Callithrix jacchus: one gene and its partners. The protein of the gene in region 3 binds, or shares a complex with, the protein of the main gene of each other region. Links are inferred from orthologs where the notes say so. Each region holds a gene or a part of one and is shown on either strand. Other genes may lie near its edges.

The links.
Region 1: RIPK1 (region 3) and ZBP1 share a complex: the UniProt entries of both Homo sapiens proteins name them as parts of the AIM2 PANoptosome complex. The link is inferred for Callithrix jacchus from reciprocal best matches to the Homo sapiens genes RIPK1 and ZBP1.
Region 2: RIPK1 (region 3) and AIM2 share a complex: the UniProt entries of both Homo sapiens proteins name them as parts of the AIM2 PANoptosome complex. The link is inferred for Callithrix jacchus from reciprocal best matches to the Homo sapiens genes RIPK1 and AIM2.
Region 4: RIPK1 (region 3) and RIPK3 share a complex: the UniProt entries of both Homo sapiens proteins name them as parts of the AIM2 PANoptosome complex. The link is inferred for Callithrix jacchus from reciprocal best matches to the Homo sapiens genes RIPK1 and RIPK3.

The regions. Positions count from the first base shown.
Region 1 is NC_133506.1:53,206,616-53,211,465, forward strand, and holds the start of ZBP1 (Z-DNA-binding protein 1), read right to left. Parts: upstream 3,169-4,850; 5' UTR 3,015-3,168; coding exon 2,981-3,014; intron 1-2,980.
Region 2 is NC_133519.1:19,069,837-19,074,672, forward strand, and holds the start of AIM2 (interferon-inducible protein AIM2), read right to left. Parts: upstream 3,169-4,836; 5' UTR 3,010-3,168; intron 1-3,009. UniProt on the Homo sapiens protein: Sensor component of the AIM2 inflammasome, which mediates inflammasome activation in response to the presence of double-stranded DNA (dsDNA) in the cytosol, leading to subsequent pyroptosis.
Region 3 is NC_133505.1:27,572,198-27,576,957, forward strand, and holds the start of RIPK1 (receptor-interacting serine/threonine-protein kinase 1), read right to left. Parts: upstream 3,328-4,760; 5' UTR 3,217-3,327; intron 28-3,216; exon of another isoform or gene 1-27. UniProt on the Homo sapiens protein: Serine-threonine kinase which is a key regulator of TNF-mediated apoptosis, necroptosis and inflammatory pathways.
Region 4 is NC_133509.1:58,638,472-58,643,083, forward strand, and holds the start of RIPK3 (receptor-interacting serine/threonine-protein kinase 3), read right to left. Parts: upstream 3,169-4,612; 5' UTR 2,975-3,168; intron 2,771-2,974; 5' UTR 2,572-2,770; coding exon 2,200-2,571; intron 1,778-2,199; coding exon 1,632-1,777; intron 1,506-1,631; coding exon 1,459-1,505; intron 1,256-1,458; coding exon 1,088-1,255; intron 981-1,087; coding exon 913-980; intron 676-912; coding exon 298-675; 3' UTR 1-297. UniProt on the Homo sapiens protein: Serine/threonine-protein kinase that activates necroptosis and apoptosis, two parallel forms of cell death. Necroptosis, a programmed cell death process in response to death-inducing TNF-alpha family members, is triggered by RIPK3 following activation by ZBP1.

The DNA of each region.
Region 1 (4,850 bases), on a different chromosome or scaffold from region 3:
TTGTACCTTCAGCATCTAGCAAAGGGCTGGGCACATAGTAGGTGCTCAGGAAATGGCAGTTGAATGCATGAGTGACTGGGTGAATGAATGAGTGAACCAATGAGTGGGGTCAGGAGTGGTGGCTCACACTTGTAATTCTAGCATGTCAGGAGGCTGAGATGGAAGGATCCCTTGAGGCCAGGAGTTCTAGACTAGCCTGGGTAACAGAGTGAGACCCCACCTCTACAAAAAAAAGAAAAAATTCAGGTGGGTATGGTGGCACGCACCTCAGATGCTCAAGAGGCAAAAGTGGGAGGATCGCTTGAGCCTAGGAGTTTGTGGCTGCAGTGAGCTATGAAAGCACTCTGCACTCCAGCCTGGGCAACAGAGCAAGACCCCATCTCTGGAAGAAAAAAAGGGTTGAGTGAGTGAATATCTGTCTCCAGGGACAGATGCTTACCCAACAGACCCTGGGCAGGGCCCAGGAAGCTCCTCCCTGGCCAATTGGCGTGTGCTCCTGTTTCCTGGCCTGAGTTTAACGAGCCCCAAGCAGGACCCCAAAAAATTCAAGGAGGAATTCTCCAAATGGCCCCTGCTCCTCCCGGGCAGCTCCCAACAATCAAAACCATTAGCTCACATGGTAATTAAACCATCAAAGCCAGCTGCTCTGCCAGGAGATGAGGCTGGGGCAGACACAAGGTACGGGCAGCACCTGGCAGCCGGCAGCCTGGGAGAGCCACTGTGGGCAGGGCCCCACCTGTTACCAGGAAGCTTCTGCTTCAAGGAACCCAAGGGCAGTGCATGGGAGAGCCCTTCTTGGAAAGACCTGGGTCCCCTTCCCGGACAGTGACTCAGTTCTTTGCCATCTGGGCTTTCTTTCCTGTTCAGAGGGTTTTCCTGCTCCAGGTTTGCCTGGGGCTGGGCTCCTTGGTCACAGCACTCGAAGGGGAAGAATTGGTTTGTGCCTCACCCTGATAGTTACAATGCTGACAGGCTGGCTGCGTGCAGGTGAAGAGCAATGAGAAGACCTGGGAGCTCCCACTCCTGTGCCCATCAAACTCCCCGAGCAGCAGCCAGCAGCCCCCCACCACCCATGCGCCTGACTTCACACCTGGCTTCACCTGGTCTCGTAGAGTTTTGATTCTGGAAGGCTCACCCCAGGGAGCCACCGCCTCCGCTCCAGAAACCCCAGAGGGGATGGGGGTCAGAGCTGTGGATCCAGGACAAGCCTGGGTGCTGGGAGGGCCTCGGCTGCAGAGCCCCAGGCTACTCTGTCTGAAAATGGGGCACTGTAAAATGGAGCTGGTGTAGGTGACAATTCGGTCATAGAAGAAAAGTCAACTGGGGAGGAAAACAAGAAAAGCCAGCGAGGGCTGAGTCTGGAACGTCTGCCTACACGTGAATCCCGCAGAGGAAGAGCCACAGGAACTCAGTAGCCAGCCCGGCTCCTGGGCCATGCCCTGGCAGCAGCCCTCCAGGGCATACCCCGGGTTGGTTTTTTAAAAAAAATTCTGATGGCTGATTTCCTGAGTTTGAGCTCCAGGCTCTGCCAACTACCAGCTATGTGACCTCTCCCGACTCCAGATTCCCCCTTCTGTGAAATGGAGACGACAGTAACTACTTCAAAGATTGTGCTGAGGATTAAAAAGAAACCAAGCCCTCCCCGAAAGCCGCAAAACCACACTTCACCTACCGTCCACAGCGCTTAGAGGACACCCGAGAGAGCAGCAATGGCTGGGGACACTATTGGCTTTCACTTCAACTCTTCCAGGAATAAAATGAGCAAAATGTTAGCTGAGGAAAGAACGCAGCAAGGGGGAACAAAGGCACACGGGTATCTCTTCAGAGCAAACTGCTTTGTTCTCCACTGGGATGGGCATTCTGACACCGGCACCGGCACCTGCCAGCTGTGATACCTTGAGAGTGTCATTTCACCTCTCAGTGCCTCAGTTATCTATGAAATGGGGATGACATTGCACTTGTCCCTGCAGGCCATAGAGAAATGCTTGCAAGGCATGTTTCAAGGTGCCTGGGGCATAGTCAGCTGTCGAAGGAGGATGGCTATGTGGTCCTTGTCTTTCTACTGTTTTTTTTTTTTTTTTTTGAGATGGAGTCTCACTCTGTTGCCCAGGCTGGAGTGCACTGGCACCATCTCTGCTCACTGCAACTTTTGCCTCCTGGGTTCAAGCAATTCTCCTGCCTCAGCCTCCCAAGTGGCTGGGATCACAGGCATGTGCCACCACACCCAGCAAAGTTTCATATTTTTAGTAGAGAAGGGGTTTTACCATGTTGGCCAGGCTGGTCTCAAACACCTGAGCTCAAGAGATCCACCTGCCTCGGCATCCCAAAGTGCTGGGAGGACAGGCGGGAGCCACCACATCTGGCTGGTCTACTATTCTTTTTTTTTTTTGAGATGAAGTCTCACTTTGTCACCCAGGCTGGAATGCAGTGGTGTGATCTCAGCTCACTGCAACCTCCACCTCCCAAGTTCAAGCGATTCTCCTGCCTCAGCTTCCTGAGTAGCTGGTACTATAGGTACATGTCACCATTCCTGGCTAATTTCTGTATTTTTAGTAGAGATGGGGTTTCATCATATTGGCCAGGCTGGTCTTGAACTCGTGACCTGAGGTGATCTGCCTGCCTTGACCTCCCAAAGAATAAAGTTGTCCTGTATTTTATTCCTGGAATTGTGCAATGAAAGCCAGTTGCAGGAGCCTCCCGGTCTGGTCTGCTATTTTTTTTTTTTTTTTTGCTTGGGTAATCCCTTTTAATAGTGAACTTCAGGTCACAACGGTAACTATTAGTTCAACTACACCAAGGTTTCTGAAGACAATGGCTTCTCCACCCAAGCAGGTTGTATATAAATTCCAAATAGAACTGCTTATTCTTTAGGATACTGCTATTGCCATCATGATCTGAGCCAAGCAAAAGAGGAAGAAAGAGAAGTGGAAATCTCACCCCAGGAGCTACTGCTGGTCCGTGGAAGGAAGAAGTACTGTACCTTCTTTGCCTGGATCAGCAGAAGCCTGGGCCATGCTGAGGACAGCTGCAGGGAGCGGGGAGACTTGCCAGGTGGTGCAGGCTCCTGTGCTCTGGCCTTGAGAGAATGGGCTGGGTCGAGGCTGGGGGTCTCATGCGGCTGAGCCTGGTGCTTCGTGCAGCTCTGAACCCACAAGGGAAGCGATGTCTGCTTCCACCAGGCGGGTATCAGCTGTTTACACCCCGGAAATAGACGCCCAGCCAGACCGGCCAGATTGTTTCTGAAGAAAAAGAAAATGAAACTTCTCTGTGTGGCTTTTCAAAGAAACCACATTGAAAGCAGGATGGATGAGCAAGCCCGAGTTGGGGCTCCGACTTGATGTTGACAGGGCGGAGCTATAAACTCAGCAAGACCAGAGCATCCTCTGAAGAGGCCTTTGGGGCAGAGGACTTCCCTCACCTTCCCAGCTCCAGGCGCAGCCCACCTGGACCCCTGCATTTTTATTTTCTGGCTCAGCATCAGAGGATTAAAAAAAAAAAAGAGAGAGCATGTACCACCTGCAGGGGTGATGTCAGGGGGTGGCATCACTCTGACGATGTCAGGAGCTGGGGCTGGACACCCAGGTTCTGTGTTTTGTTTTGGAAACAGGGTTTCTGTCACCCAGGCTGATGTGCAGTGGCACCATCATGGCTCACTGCAGCCTTGACCTCCTGGGCTTCAGTGATCCTCCCACCTCTCAGCCTCCCTAGTAGCTGGGACCACAGGTCTACATCACCATCCCAGCTAATTTTTGTATTTTCTGTAGAGATGGCGTTTCGTCATGTTGCCCAGGCTGATCTCAAACTCCTGGGGTCAAGCGATCCGCCTGCCTTGGTCTCACGCAGTGCTGGGATTCCAGGCATGAGCCCCCATGCCTACCCTGCCTGGTTCCGGTGGTACTTCCTTCTCAGGGACTCACAGGTGCTGACAGAGGTGCCGTCCCCAGCTCTCAATGGTTTTTCTTGTCTCCTCCCGAGTTTATTTCCCTGACCCACACGAGGGGCAGAACATTTAGGTGGGTGAGTGTCCTGAGATTGTCCCTGTGAGTATCCAACTGAGCCTCTTTAATGAACACCTACTACATGCTTTCCAATCTCAAGTGCTCCTCCAACCCATCTACAGGGTAGGGGCCAGTTCTTTCTTATTCTCAGAGGGGAAACTGAGGCCAGAAAGGCAAGATCACTTGTCCAAGGCCACACAGAGTCCATGGCAGAGCATGTCCTGTCCATTACCCAATTGTGTTTCCTGATCTGTAACATCAAAAGTCACACGTGAATCACCCTTAACACATGACGGTATGGAGTTCCCAGCTTTGCCACAGAACTTGCTTATTAATTCCAGAGTCAGATGCCTGAGGTCAGCATCTGAAAACTGGCAGCTGAGTGGTTCGGCATGCAAGCCTGGGCCAGCGTGCTTGGGTCCAAACCCAGCTGCACCATTTACTGGGTGTGTGACCTTGGACAAGTTATTTAACCTCTCGGTGCCTCAGTTTCCTCATGTGTAAAAGGGCTTAATCAAAGGAGCTAGCTCATGGGATTGAGGTGAGGACTTAAGGGGCTAACCCAGCCCAGCTGTCGGGCCGGAGCCCCAGCGCCATCTGCGGTCATGGGTATTGTCACCCCACAGGAATGTGTCTGGGAGAAAATGTGTCTTTGAAAAAAGGTTTGACGAAATGCTGAAAAGAATAGACAATATAGAGAGAAATATAAATGAATTAACGGAGTTGAACAATACAACACGAGAACTTAGTGAAATATGCACAAGTTTAAATAGCAGAATGGATCAAGCAGAAGAAAGGATATCAGAGGTCGAAGACCAACTTAACGAAATAAAACGACAAGACAAGAATAGA
Region 2 (4,836 bases), on a different chromosome or scaffold from region 3:
TATTTTGCAACAAGGTGAAAAACAAGAAGGTCAGTTAGAAGCTGTTGTAATAATGCAGGGGAGAGATGAAGACATCCATCTAGCAGAGTCACAGTGAAGATAGAAGCGATTGTACTCAAATTACATGCATTTAATTCATAGAAAATAGAATTTCCTAATAGACTGGACCTGGAGTGCCGAGGAGAAGCTAAGAAACACACTTAGGCCGGGCGTGGTGGCTCATGCCTGTAATCCCAACACTTTGGGAGGCCAAGGCAGGTGGATCACTTGAGGTCAGGAGTTTGAAACCAGCCTGTCCAACATGGTGAAACCCCATCTTTACTTAAAATACAAAATTAGCCAGGCATGGTGGTACATGCCTGTAAGCCCAGCTACTCGGGAGGCTGAGGCAGGAGAACTGCTTGAACCTGGGAGGCAGAAGTTGTAGTGAGCCAAGATTGTGCCACTGCACTCCAGTCTGGGCAACAAGAGAAAAACTCCATCTCAAAAAGAAAAAAAGAAAAAACAAAAAAAGAAACAAACTTAGATTTTTTTGACTTAACACCTGAAAACAGTCAAAATGCTACTGATATTGCAGAGTGGATGTCAGAGGAGCATATTTGGAATGCGCTGGGATAAGGTTAGGAATGTGGACTTGGACATGTTAAGTTGGTGATGCCTGCTAGAGCTTCAAGTGCATAGTTCAGATACCCAGGTGGAGTTAAAGAGAGTGCTAGTCTAGAGATGTGAGCTTGGGAATCACTAGCACACAGGTAGTAGCAGTAAAAGCCATAGATAAACGATTTCACCAAGGGAGGAAGTGCAGAAAGAGGAAGTCCAAAGTTCGCCCCTGGCCATTCCGGTATTGACAGTGCGAGGGATGAAGACTGACCAGCCATGGTGACTGAACGGGCATGAGCGGTGAGATAGGTAGAAAGCTAGGAAGAGCAGTGTTTAAGGTGCTGAGAAGGTAATTCTTAAGGAGATAAAAAGATGAAATGTGCCACATGTTTCTAACATACTAGGTAGGATGAGGGCTGCAGAAAAGACATAGAAGTAGCAATTAGAGGTTACTGGTGACGCTGATAATAGCAGTTTTGATAGAGAATGGTGCAGAAGAAATTTTAACTTGAGTATACAAAATAGATTAAGATTGGTAAGTGCTATAAAGGAAAACAAAACAGGGAAGGCAGAGGGGGTGCCAGGAATGAGGAGTAAAATTGCTCATGTAAATTGAGTGGTCAGAAAAAGGGTGGACAAAAAAGGGGGAATGCAAGGAAAGCCAACCTTTTTGCTATAAAGGTCCAGAGAAATGTGGTAAGTGCTGGAAGGAGATGTGGGGTTGACAGAGTGTCTTCTTTTTGTTTGCTTGCTTTTCTAACATTGGAGAAAATACAGAATATTTCATGCTGATTAGAATGATCTGGGAGAGAGGAAAAATTGGTGATATAGAAGAACGAAAAGAAAATTTCTTAAGCAAGTAAAACCTAAGAATGATTCCTCTTTGAGAGACACCTGATGAAACAAATAAGCATTTCCACCCAGCATTTCCCCTATGTGCCATCTTCAGTGGAGGAATAGTGCCTACCTTCTTCATGCCACAGCTGCAGAACCCCACAGGGATTTCAGACTGTGTTAACTTGCTGCCTAAGGCTGACAGTTATTCTGCCAGACACAGACTTAAATCCTGGTTCCGCTATTTGCAACATCTGGTAAATTATACCCTTCTAAAGTGTCCATATCCTTAACTGCAAAATGGGGGAAATGTTATTATCAACATTGAAGAATTAATGTTAGAATAAGATAATTCCATTCAAGTAAGTCATGAACTTACAACAGAGCCTTGCAAAGCATAATCATTCATCCAGGGTTAGGTATCAGTATAAAAAGTGATAATATGCCAGGTGCGGTGGCTCATGCCTGTAATCCCAGCACTTTGGGAGGTGGAGGGAGGTGGATCACGAGGTCAAGAGATCGAGACCATCTCGGCCAACATAGTGAAACCCCATCTGTACTAAAATATAAAAATTAGCTGGGTGTGGTGACATGCATTTGTAGTCCCAGCTACTTGGGAGGCTGAGGCAAGAGAATTGTTTGAACCCAGGAGGTGGAGGTTGCATTGAGCCGAGATCAAGGCACTGTACTCCAGCCTGGTGCCTGGCAACAGAGTGAGACTCTGTCTCAAAAAAAAAAAAAAAAAAAAAGTGATAGTAGTAGATATCTAGTCATGATATTTTGTGACAAATAATAGTTTCATATGGGATGGCAGGTCACAATCTGGATTTGAGACTGAGATTAAAAGGTAGGAGCATATCTTATTTAAAAGGTTTTATCAAAGAATAGATTAAGAGGACACAGTGGGGCCGGGCGCTGTGGCTCATGCCTGTAATCCTAGCACTTTGGGAGGCCGAGGTGGGTGGATCACCTGAGGTCAGGAGTTCCAGACCAGCCTGGCCATCATGGTGATAACCCATCTTAAAAAAAAAGACACAGGGAAGGTAGAAGTGCAAGGTTGGAATGAAAAGGATTTCTGGGCTGGGATGAGCAAACCAGGGCAACAGATGATAAAGAACTAGAGTGATGTTGAAATCACACCAGAGCATCCCACTGGGGCTAGACCAGGGGCTTCGTGGGTGGTCCTGGAGGTCAGGAAATGAAGCCCTGCACTGTGTGAGAAGAGGCATTCATTAGTGGGAAATTCCCAAGTGCTATGTGGGGCTTCAGTCAAGTAAAATGGTCACTGCCTTGGAAGGTAGGGGGGCCCAGCCAGGGGGATGGGGCATTTACAAATAGGCTGATAGATAAACCCCAGTGGAAGCTGAAGCTTCAGGAATACCAGCTCAAAGACACCAGAGAATATGGCTACAGCGAATAAAATAGATGAACCCATCCTTTCACAGCTGGTGTCCATTTCGCAGGTTCAAGTTATCAAAGGGGTGCATAGCATGGCTGGTCTTTCCTCAGTTGTCTTTCTTGGTGGAGAAAGGGTTCCGTCTCTTGTGTCTAACCCAGTTCCTCCATGGTGCTTACCTTCTGATCCCTGGTGTGATCAGCAAACCGGGTCTGCCACCTTCTCTTCAGAGAGCTTAACTAGCAGGGGGCTTAGGAGACCATGCCCCAATTACCTACGTGACTTTCAAAGCGACAAAGGCTCTGAAACTTCTGAACAGCTTCACACATACTCCGAATAAACACTTCCCTTCACCCCCAGGGCCAGCGCGGGTTGGAGTGACAACTGGAGCTCTAATTGGCTGAGCTGGTTTGGGTTCTCTCTAGCAGCCACAGAAGAAAACTCTTGTAGCAACTTGTAGCTGAGTCATCCCACATAGTTACTCTGATTGGAAACTGAAAGTGGTTAGGAAGCTGTGAAAAATGACCACAGATGACTTATTGGTACGCTTTGTGACTAAGGGGCCTAGCAGATGACATTTTATTTTTATTTTTATTTTTTTCTTTTCTTTTGAGACGGAGTCTTGCTCTGTTGCCAGGCTGGAGTGCAGTGACGTGATCTTGGCTCACTGCAACCTCCGCCACCCGGGTTCAAGGGATTCTCCTGCCTCAGCCTCCCGAGTAGCTGGGACAACAGGCGCGCGACCATGCCCAGCTAATTTTTGTATTTTTCGTAGAGACGTGGTTTCACCATGTTGGCCAGGATGGTCTCGATTTCTTGACCTTGTGATCTGCCTGCCTTGGCCTCCCAAAATGCTGAGATTACAGGCACGAGCACCGTTGTCTGGCCCAGATACATTTTTTCTGGTATAAATAAGCACAGTGATTTCGGAGGGCATCAAAAAGTGTTGCCAGTAGGCCAGTGCAGGTTCTTGGCGTCAAAGCATAAGAGAATCCGAAAATGAGACCAAAGTGAAAGTATAGATGTTTTATTGTGGAGCAAAAGCAAGGATACACCCAAGGGAGGAGTGCGGGCACTCAGAGAATGAGTCACAGGCAACGGGGTTCGTGTCATATACGGATTAGCACAATGAAGGTAGAAAGTACTCTATGATAAGGGGAAGGGTTTTCTGCAAAATGGGTGGGCAGTTCTCAGAATCAGGGTGCCACCATTTTCTTGACTAAAGATAGTTAATCCGGAAATATTATGGCGCCAGGTGCATGATGGGAGTGGGAGGTTTCATTATGGAAATTTTATGACATTAAGGGCATAATGAAGCTAAGGGTCAGCAGTCAGCCAAGTTTTCGGTTTAACCGGGTTTAACCAGTTGCGGCCAGTTTCTTCCGTGTTACCTTCTCATCCGTGCCTAAGGAGGAAGTCTGCAATGTGTGCTCATTGTCACAGCTGGTTGTAGCAGTTCCTGTCTCCTAGGGGGCCTGTCCCTCTGCTCTAACGTTTTTGACCCCATTTTTATTGCTTGTAGTTACCTGGAAGTAATGGTGCCTCATTCCCTCACGAACTGCTTGCCTCAAAAGCATATATACAGTCTTTCTTCCTAACCCAGATTCCTAACCCTAAATTCAGAACCTGAGGGCTTGATTCTAGTCAGCAATTTACTTGAAGTTTTCATTTCTCATTCATTGAATCAACAATTATTCAGTGAACATCTAATAGGATGTATTAGTTTCTGGGAATGTAATAGTTGATAAGACAAAGTTCCAGATATTGAGCGGCTCTGCCAAGTCATGGAAACAGACATGTAATTTAATAATCGCAATAGCACATGGTGCTAAGTGTTATAATTAAAGCATGTTCAAGATGCTATGGGAGCAGAGGAAAAGCACCTAGCCATGCTCAGGTCATCAGCCCAGAGCTCAGGACTGCCTTCACTTTCTGCTCTAAGGCCTATTTCTACACTTTTGCCAGCTGTCAGCTCAAATATCACCTTATCTGTGGGGCTTCTCTGA
Region 3 (4,760 bases):
AGCACTCCTGGCAGGAGGGCGTGGACTGCTCGCGCTGCCTCCTCCCCCCTGCCCAGGCTCCTGCCGGGGAGGAGGACTGCGAGAGCGCCGCCCCGCCACTTGCAGGGCCTAGCGCCCAGGGTCTGAATCCCGGAGCTCTCTTGCTGGCTGGAGGATCGCGGACTTTGTTTTCAAGCGAGTTGGGCGGCCTAAGTGAAGAGGAAACCGAAACCTGCGCCCCCGAGAGGCAGCTGGGCCTGGAGGAAGTCCAGTGTGGATTGCAGCGGGGGTGCTATCCGGAGGATTCGGAGCTGTGCGCGTTAGCAGCGCTAGGACCATAGGCAAGTTAGCATTCCTCTCCCTTCTGTAAAGTGAGGCTGTCGAGAGGAAATAAGATGATTATTTTGCAGCCTTTAAATTGGTAATTGTGAAGTCTCGAGCAAAATTGGAACTGCATGCTATTCATGTTTTATTAAAAAAGCAAATAATAAAATTATATGCACAACAGGCCGGGCGCGGTGGCTCACTCCTGTAATGCCAGCACTTTGAAAAGCTGAGGCGGGCGGATCACTTGAAGTCAGGAGTTCGAGACCAACCTGGCCAACATAGTGAAACCCCATCTCTACTAAAAAATACAAAAATCAGCTGGGCGTGGTGGCGGGCATCAGTAATCCCAGCTACTGGGGAGGCTGAGGCAGGACAATCGCTTGAACCCAGGAGGAGGAGGCTGCAGTGAGCCGAGATTGCACCACTGTGCTCCAGCCTGGGTGATAAGAGCGAGACTCCGTCCCAAAAGCAAAACAAAAGCGCAGCAGGATTATATGCTGTAAAAACAAAAAAGGTATGTCAGGAGAATGAGAACACAAGCCACAGACCGGGAGAAAATATTTACAAAAGACATACCTGATAAAGGACTGTGACCCAAAATATACTCCCCCAAAAAAACCTCTTAAAATGCAACAATATGGAAATGTGTAACCTGATTAAAAGTGGGGAAAAGCTCTGAACAGACACTTCACCATATGTATATGCGTATGAAAAGATGCTCAAAATTATAGGTCATTAAGGAATTACAATGTTCTGAAAAAACTGAAATACTATTACACATTTATTAGAATGGCTAAAATCCAGAACACAACACCAAATGTCGATGAAGACCTGGAGCAAAAGGAAGTCTCACTTGTTCCTAATGGGAATGAGCCGGGTGTGGTGGCATGCTCCTGTAGTCCCAGGTACTCTGGAAGTGGAGGCAGGAGAATTGCTTGAACCCAGGAGGCGTAGGTTACAGTGAGCTGAGATTGACCCACTGCACACACACACACACAAAAAAACTCAGCTGGCCACGCCTGTAATTCCAGCACTTTGGAAGGCCAAGGCAGGCAGATCAGGAGGTCAGGAGATTGAGACCATCCTGGCCAACATGGTGAAACCCTGTCTCTACGGAAAATACAAAAATTAGCTGGGCATGGTGGCGTGCACCTGTAGTCCCAGCTACTCCAGAGGCTGAGGCAGAATTGCTTGAGCCCAGGGAAGCAGAGGTTGCAGTAAGCCAAGATCGTGCCACTCCACTCCATCCTGTGACAGAGCACAACTCTGTCTGGAAAAAAACAAAACAAAATACAACAACACTCTGTTCCATTTGTGGAGCTTGCATTCTAATAGGGAAGACAAAAAGTTAATGCTCATCACTATCCTCCGGACATCATGTGACCTTGGGACATTGGAAATGTATTGTTTTTGCTTTATTTTGTTTTCAGTGTTCTAACTCAGAAACATCTATTTGGGAGCTTTACTCATTATTCCCAGCAAAAGCCATGAGAGTAGATTGTGCATGGGAGGAAGGAACTGGTCCCTGCAGAGCTCCAGAATGCAAAGGCAAGAAGGAGCCCAAGGTGAGGAAGTAAAACCAGCGAGAACAAGTAGCTGGCACTACCTCTGAAGCCAGTGGAGGCAAAGTGTGAATGTGAGTGGGTGGGTCTCTTGGCCACAGATCTGAAACCAAAGGAACACCTGCCCCCAGGCCACAGTTCCCAATGCCCTTGGAAATGAGCCTCACCCATCCAGGTGAGGCTGGGAGACCTCCCTGACTCCTTCCCATCTCTCCCTTCTCCGCCACACTCATCCCCAAGGGCTGCCCTCCTCACACACATTTCTCTCCACTTCAGATCCTGTGCCTGGCCTCGTGCCCAGACCTCCTCCCTGACCCTCTGGTCTTTCCAGAGCTGCTCCCCACTGTCCGGACACCTCACCTGTGCTTCCCAAAACGCCAGCCAGACCACTGGAGAGCCTTGGACAATGAACACAACCCGCTGCCAGCAGCCACCCTCAGCCACAGCCACACAGCATCCTGAGAGGAAAGTGGTGTCTCCATCCTCTCGTCCTTCCTCCTAAATCTCCCAGGGCCTTAGGGTCCGCTCAAAGCCGCCTTGTTGAAATGGTTTCTTCTTCACCTGCCCCTCCCCTGATCCAGCCTCACTCAGGTCACAGCCTCCACCTTTGGCCATCCTGGACCCCTCCCAAAGTCACCTCTTGGCAAACACTGTTGGTCCCCCTTGGGGGGGCGCCACGACAATCACGGGTTAATTCCACTCATCCTCAATTCCACTGCGGCTGGGAGGCTCTGATTCCCACCCTAGGGGAGGCTTCCTAGACCCCGCCGGCGCGACCCGCCCCCGGCAACACAACACTTCCGAAGGTGATTCCTCCTCTACTTGCTGGCGGTCCCCGCAGACAGCAGGCTCTGCAGGTTACGGGCTGCGGCTGGCTGCCCGGATTCTCAGGCCCTGGAGGAGTGCTCCGGGGAAGGAAAGACCCATCCGTATCTCTGAATTACGGATGAGTCCTCGGATTTGGAACTGGAGAATGGTGACTTTAAAAGATAAGCAGGATAGACGTTGTCATCCTGCGGACCCCCGAGCAGAGAGGAGCAGTGGGAAAATAGGGCCGGCAGGTGGGGAGGGGACTGCAGGGGACGCCTTCGGCCTGGGAAGGGCAGCCAGGAGGCGTCGGGGAGAGCAGCGTCCGCACTGGCTGGGGGCCGCCGAGGCAGAGACCGGCTGCGCGCTGCAAGGGACCCCCTAGAGACCGTTGCTGGCCCCACCGAAACGGCACTGCCTCCCCGGGGCTCTTGGCTGAACGGCCTCTCCTTTCCTCGAATCCCACCTCTCGGTGGCAGCCGGGGAACCTGAAGCTCACCACTCCCGTCCCCAGCCCGGCCCTGCGCGGGGACGCCCTCACCTGCCACCTCTTCCAACGCTGCCGCCGTCTCTGTGCCGCGCTCCGATCCTGGACGCGGATCCCTGAGGCGCAGGACCGGGTCCTACTACTGCGCTCGCTGCGGATTCTCACTCCGGCCTTTGCCGGCACCGCCTTTTTATACTCACGCCACTTTCCTCCCGGAACCAGCGGGGGCGGCGCGCGAGGTGGCCGGGGGCAGGGCTAGGGGCAGGGCTAGGGTTCCCCAACTTGCCCCGCCCAGGGCGATGTCCGCGACTGCCTCCGCCAGCCCGAGGCCAGTCTCGTGCCCGTGGCGCTCGCCGGGCCTCGCCCACCTCCAGCGTCATGGTCGCTTCAGACCGGGTTCCGAAACTGACAGCCTAGAGAAGTAGACTGGTAGCCTGCACTGTGCAGGACCTCAGCGCCAAAAAACAAGGGGTCTGCGGGAAAGGAGACAGAGCCTGGAATCCTGGGCTTCATTACTTTCAGAAAGTAGTCGGGTGACAGCCAAGCTGGATGTTCAATGGGAAAGCCCCATGGGTCCACTCCTCTTGTCTTAGGAATGTGAGGGATTCAGTTAACCAAAGCATTTGTTCCAGGTTCCGCCACTAATTAGTACTAGTCCTGGGTACTAGTACTAGTAGTACTTCTAGGCACTAGTACTAACTGGTACCACTCCAGATAGAGAAGCAGGCGTCCTCACCCCTAGTACTCGAGCCCTTCTCCAGCCACAGTTGCTTAGACTGCGGTTGGTTTAAGCAGCCTCACCATTCCCGCAAAGTGATGGGAAGAGACACTGAGTGAGACGGGCTCAGGACACTCCTGTATCCTCTATCAGGGGTCCAGAGGCAGAGACTTGAGGGAGTTGATGCAGCAGTTTTGTGATGTCATCAACTATCCCCCCCACCGCCTCCATCCTAGGCTGGACGCAATTTGAAGCATTTTGTGTTGACACGGTGATTTTCAGAGGAAGAGAACAGACCAAATGGCTCCCAGGGAGAGGCTCGCAGAAGCCATGCCCTCCCATTTCAAATTGACAAAAAGTAAAGCTTTCTCCTGAGGGCCTGAATTAGCGAGAGGCAAGCCAGGTGCCTAAGGCACAAAATTTCAGGAGGGCTGCACACGTAGGGGCCAACCCTGCATTTGCGCGGCCCTGAGAATCAGAACCTCCTCCAATTTTACACCCGAGGTGCCTAGCTTGTTTTTTAAAATGACACCCTTATTAAGGTCGGGCATGGTGGCTTATGCCTGTAATCCCAGCATTTTTGGAGGCCAAGGCAGGCAGATCATGTGCCAAGAATTAGAGACCAGCCTGGCCAACATGGTGAAACCTCGTGTCTACTAAAAATACAAAAATTAGTCGGGCGTGGTGGTGCACACCTGTAATCACAGCTACTCAAGAGGCTGAGGCAGGAGAATAGCTTGAACTTGGAGGTGAAGGTTGCAGTGAGCCGAGATTGCACCATTGCACTCCAACCTGGGTGACAGGGTGAGACTCCATCTCAAAAAAATAAAAATAAATAAAAATATATAAATAAAATAACACATTTATTAAAATACATTCA
Region 4 (4,612 bases), on a different chromosome or scaffold from region 3:
GAGTTAGATCGTCTTCTCTCCTCCCCTCCACAAGTTACCCTGAATCTAGTTATAGGTCTGGAGGAAGAGTCTGGTGGAATAATTGAACAGGGAAAAAAAGGGGTAGAGAGTGGGTATCTGTTACTGGATTTGGTTCCAGGTTCCTGGAGGACCAGTTCATGCCATGTCTCTTAGCCCCCTGCAAACAGCACAGAGCATTCAGTTCTGTCCCAGAGTCTGGTGTTCCCTCTGCACTCCTCTCAGCTCCAAGTTTTCCCTGGCAAGGGGAAAGGATTTATAGGAGTTCTAGTGCATCCCCTAATCCTGCCAATGTCTCACCTGATTCCTTTGGGGTCTAGGACCTGGTGTTCCAGTTGAGGTGGGGCTGGGTGTCTGGTTTCTGAAAGTTGAGGTCTCTGGAGTCTGGGGAGGTTGAGCCATTGAATCTGAAGATGTCCCTGCTGTCCTGGCTTGTGGAACCTGCTCCTCTTGTGCCCTGCTCTTCTTGGTAAGACTTGGGTATTTTTCAGGAACACAGCTGGAAGAATCCTCTAGATTCAGTTTATTTAGCAGGTCAGAATCCATGAAATCATCATAACAGTGCTGCCTTCCTGTGTTTCTCCCAAAGCCATCCATTTCTGTCTTTCCTTGGCCTGACCTATTGCTGCTCCTGAGCTCAGACAGGAAATTCTTTACCTGCAGGGATGGAGGAGTTTGCTGGGTATAACTTGGATGAGCCAGAGCAAACCCAAGGGAGTAGTCTCTTGGTCCATAATCTGTTGGCTGGGAACTCGGGGGTGGGCTGGGGAGGGTGGGGACAAAGTTCAAGGCATAAAAAGCGGTGATCGGTGGTAAGCCATCATTGGATGGCTAGGTAGTCATGTTGTGCTATCCCTGACCAGCTCCTGGAGAGGGATGATGTTGGGAGCTCACTGTGGAGACAGCAGCATTCATATTGTTCTTCACCAGCTCGAAGCCTTCATCGGTTTTTGGTAGGCATTCTAGAGGGACAGTAGATTGGGTTGCAGGTGAGCAAATCTTTTCCTGAGAAGAGCCCCCTGCTGACAGACCCAAGCTTATCACAGATCCAGCTAACTGGGCAGCTCACCCTGGAAGGAGGGTCTGTCCTTGGGCTCATTGCTACAGCAGAGCTGCATTAAATCCTTCAGTCCTTCCAAGCCAGGAGTCTCAGGCCCAGCTTGGGACAGTTCATTTAGTGAGGGCTGGGCCTCCCTCTTGCACACTGCTCCATACACCAGTGATGCTTCGGTCGGCACTGGGGTAGGGAAGGTGGGTGAGAAGAGAAGGCATTTGGGGTAAAAGGGAATATCTGTCCATCATGGAAAGAGGCAGGGAGTGTAATGTGGGGGCACCATGAGGGAGGAGGGCAGTCTAAGTAGATGAGCAGGAAGGGGAAGACTTGGGGCTTTCAGAAGGGCACCTGGGGTTAAGGATCCCAGAATCTGCCTAGAGTCTTACACTCAGCTTCTCTTCCAGCAAGCACTGCCCACATTAGGATCCCGAAGCTGCAGGAGACACAAAGCTGAGGACAGGTCCAATCACTGGCAAGACTCCTTTCCTATACGTCATCCCCTAGGAGGGCCAAGAGAGGTGTAGGAATCCCCGCTGTGTGTTTGGGGTGGGATCCTTACCTGTAGACATCACTGGCTGGGGAGGCCTTCTGGTTTACATTAACAAACAGTTCTGGGGCCAAGTAGCCCAGGGTGCCCCCTGGCTCCCTAGACCCTGTCCCTGACGGTGAGCTTCCCTGAAATGTGGACAGGCCAAAATCTGCCAGCTGCAAATGAAGGGAAGAAGGGGGAAGCGGGGAAGACAAAGCAGGCAGCCTCCAGAATACTCCCTACCCCCAGATGGTGCAGATTCAGCTTTGTAAAAAGAGTGTGAAGGTCAAGGGAAGGGGTTCCCTTGGGTGGTAGATCTAGGTGCCCTGTGGTAGGGCTGGGTCCAAGTCTGAGTCTCCAGGGCCTGGTGGGACAGCTGGTGGAAATGACTCGTGTGGGTCAGGGCCTCTATCACCTGGTAGGGCAGGAGCTAAAACTCCCGGCTGGGCTTTGTCCCCTGACAACTCTGAGTCCAGAGGGAGAGGCTGTGCCTATTCAACAGACAGGGCTCTGCAGGTCTAGTGTCTGGTGGCCCTGGCTGGAGCAGCTCTGGGGTGGGGCCTTGTCCTGAGGCTGAGAGGGGTGTAGACCGGCTAACCTTGACGTGCAGCTCCGGGTCCAGCAGGATGTTGGATGGCTTGAGGTCCTGGTGCAGGAGCGCCGGGTTCTGCTCATGCAGGTAACACATCCCGAGCACCACTTCTTTCAGCAGGCGGCAGAGGAGTGGCCAGGGCCGAGGGCACTGGGGCTTCAGCAGCCCCGACAGGGAGCCGTTCTCCATGAATTCAGTCACCAGTGCCGGCCTGAAATCGTCGTCCCACCCCACCTCCTCGATGACCCCTTTTAGGCACAGCACGAATTCGTTATTCAGACTTGCCATGGCCTTGACCTCCCTGGATATCGCCTTCCTACACTCCAGTAGAGAGCTGGAGTCGCACCGGGGTCCTGGGAGAATCCCTCCCTTCCCCATTCAGGTCGCAGAGCACAGCGGCTCCACCTTTTTGCCCAGACCTTGGCCGGACACTCACGAGTTCACGATCTTGACAGCCACATCGCAGCCCCACTTCCTATGATGCGCCCGGAACACGTTGCCGAACCCGCCTGAGCCGACGAGCTTGTGGTTCTCCAATTACTTGTCTAACACCAAGGAGGCGGAAGCACCGTTCAACCTGAGAGAGGGGTGTCGCCCACTAGCCGGCAGTGCAGTGTCCGCGCTGCTCCCCCCGCCCCCGTGACTCGGCGCCCACTGCAATCCTCGGCCTCCCTCGCCCGCCCCCACCGTCCCTAGACGCAAAGGCGTTCTCTGAGCGAGTCGCGGGTAGCTCTGGGGGTGAGTGTCGGAGACTCAGATCCACACGCCACTCCCTACTCACCATAACTTGACGTGAGACATCAGGCTGGAAGGTACGAGGGGGCCGCTGGAAATAGCGAGCTGCAGGAGATGGAGTGACTTCCGGGGCTGCGGTCTTTGGTAGAGAGGGGAACGGGTCTGCATGCACAGGCGTCAGTCTCTAGACCAAGATGATGATTCCACTTTCCGGGTTGCTACCGCTATTCCGAGTTGACTGAACAACTTCCCTTTCAGGCGACTCTACAGTCCCGCCCCTGGGGTGGGACGGGGGCAGAACGAAAGCTAGTGCTTTCCTCTCTGACTAGTGTTTCTTGGGCGCCTGCTGCGTGCCGCGGCCAGGTTGGTTGTAGCTGGGCATTGAGGATGTTAGGGAAGGAGTCCTCACCTTCCGGGAACCCACAATCGACCCTCTCCTACAGCCAACGCCTTCCCTTTTCCCACGGGATTTCCTGCTCCACCACCTGCCAGGCCGTGAGTGGGGATGGTGCTTAAGAGGGTTTTATGGTTCTGGGGCTCAGCTCTCTCACAGCTGCCCTAAGATTATAGCCAACACGTATATAAAAGTTACTACACACCAGGTACATATATTAGCTTATTTAATTCTCACATGAACCCTAAGAGGATAGGTACTGCTTTTATTACTATTTTTATGGACGAGGAAACTGAGACACTGAGAGTTTAAGTATCATGCCTAAGCCCATGTGGAAATAATGGCTCTGAACCATCAAGTTTTCCTATTTTCACATAGACTTCAGGGCTGTACCACTCAGCTGGTCATGCAGGTGGTTGGGGAAGGTGTGAAGCATCCAACGATGTAATGAAGGACCCCTATCTGTATTCCTGCCCAGTCCCTATCGCTGCTCTGATAGGGACTTATATGCCCTATGAACAGGAGCCCCTGGAGCTGACAAGCCCTAAAACAACTCCCAGGGCATTGTGGTAAGGCTAGATATATCAGCCCAGCCAGAAGGTTGCTGACATTGCGGTGTACATTGCAGTGGAAACACCTCAGAGCTTTCCTGCCCTCTCTCTTGCATGACAGCTCTTGCATGCAAATACCCTAATTAATGTTCCTGACAAGCACGTGCTCGGACACAGGTCTTTGATAACCCGGGAGCATGCAGCGTCTTAAAGATTTAGGGCAGAAAAAAGGTGTCCATATTTTACCTTTCTAAGGTCTGACCATGACTGGGGGTTGTGGGAACAAGCTAGGGTCAGCCCTAGGCACTCAGTTCTTCACAGGGAGACTCAATCCTGTGGGTTGTGTGTTGGCTCTCACTAAAAGGTGCTCACCTTGGTACTTGCTTTCCATTTTGTCCAGTGGTCCATGGGCTGGTTGAAGCAGAAGTGACTAGCAGTTTTTTCTAGAACAGCTCCTGGAGAGCCATGTCATGGCTTCTGGTAGGGTCAGCTCATGCTATTTTGGAGCCATTTAGGGAATTGTTCAACCATAGTCTCTTTAAAAGCCAATAAATGACAGGTACCCAATAAATATTTATTGAATTGAATGAATAAATGAACAATCAAAAATACTGAGCCTTCCTTAAGACACTGATCATCCTAGATGAAACTCCATACTCATTAGGAGGAAAGAGGAGATTGGGTTCCTGTAGGGATTGAGGGCTCTCACCTGAACAGTTCATGAACTCCATCTGAAGTA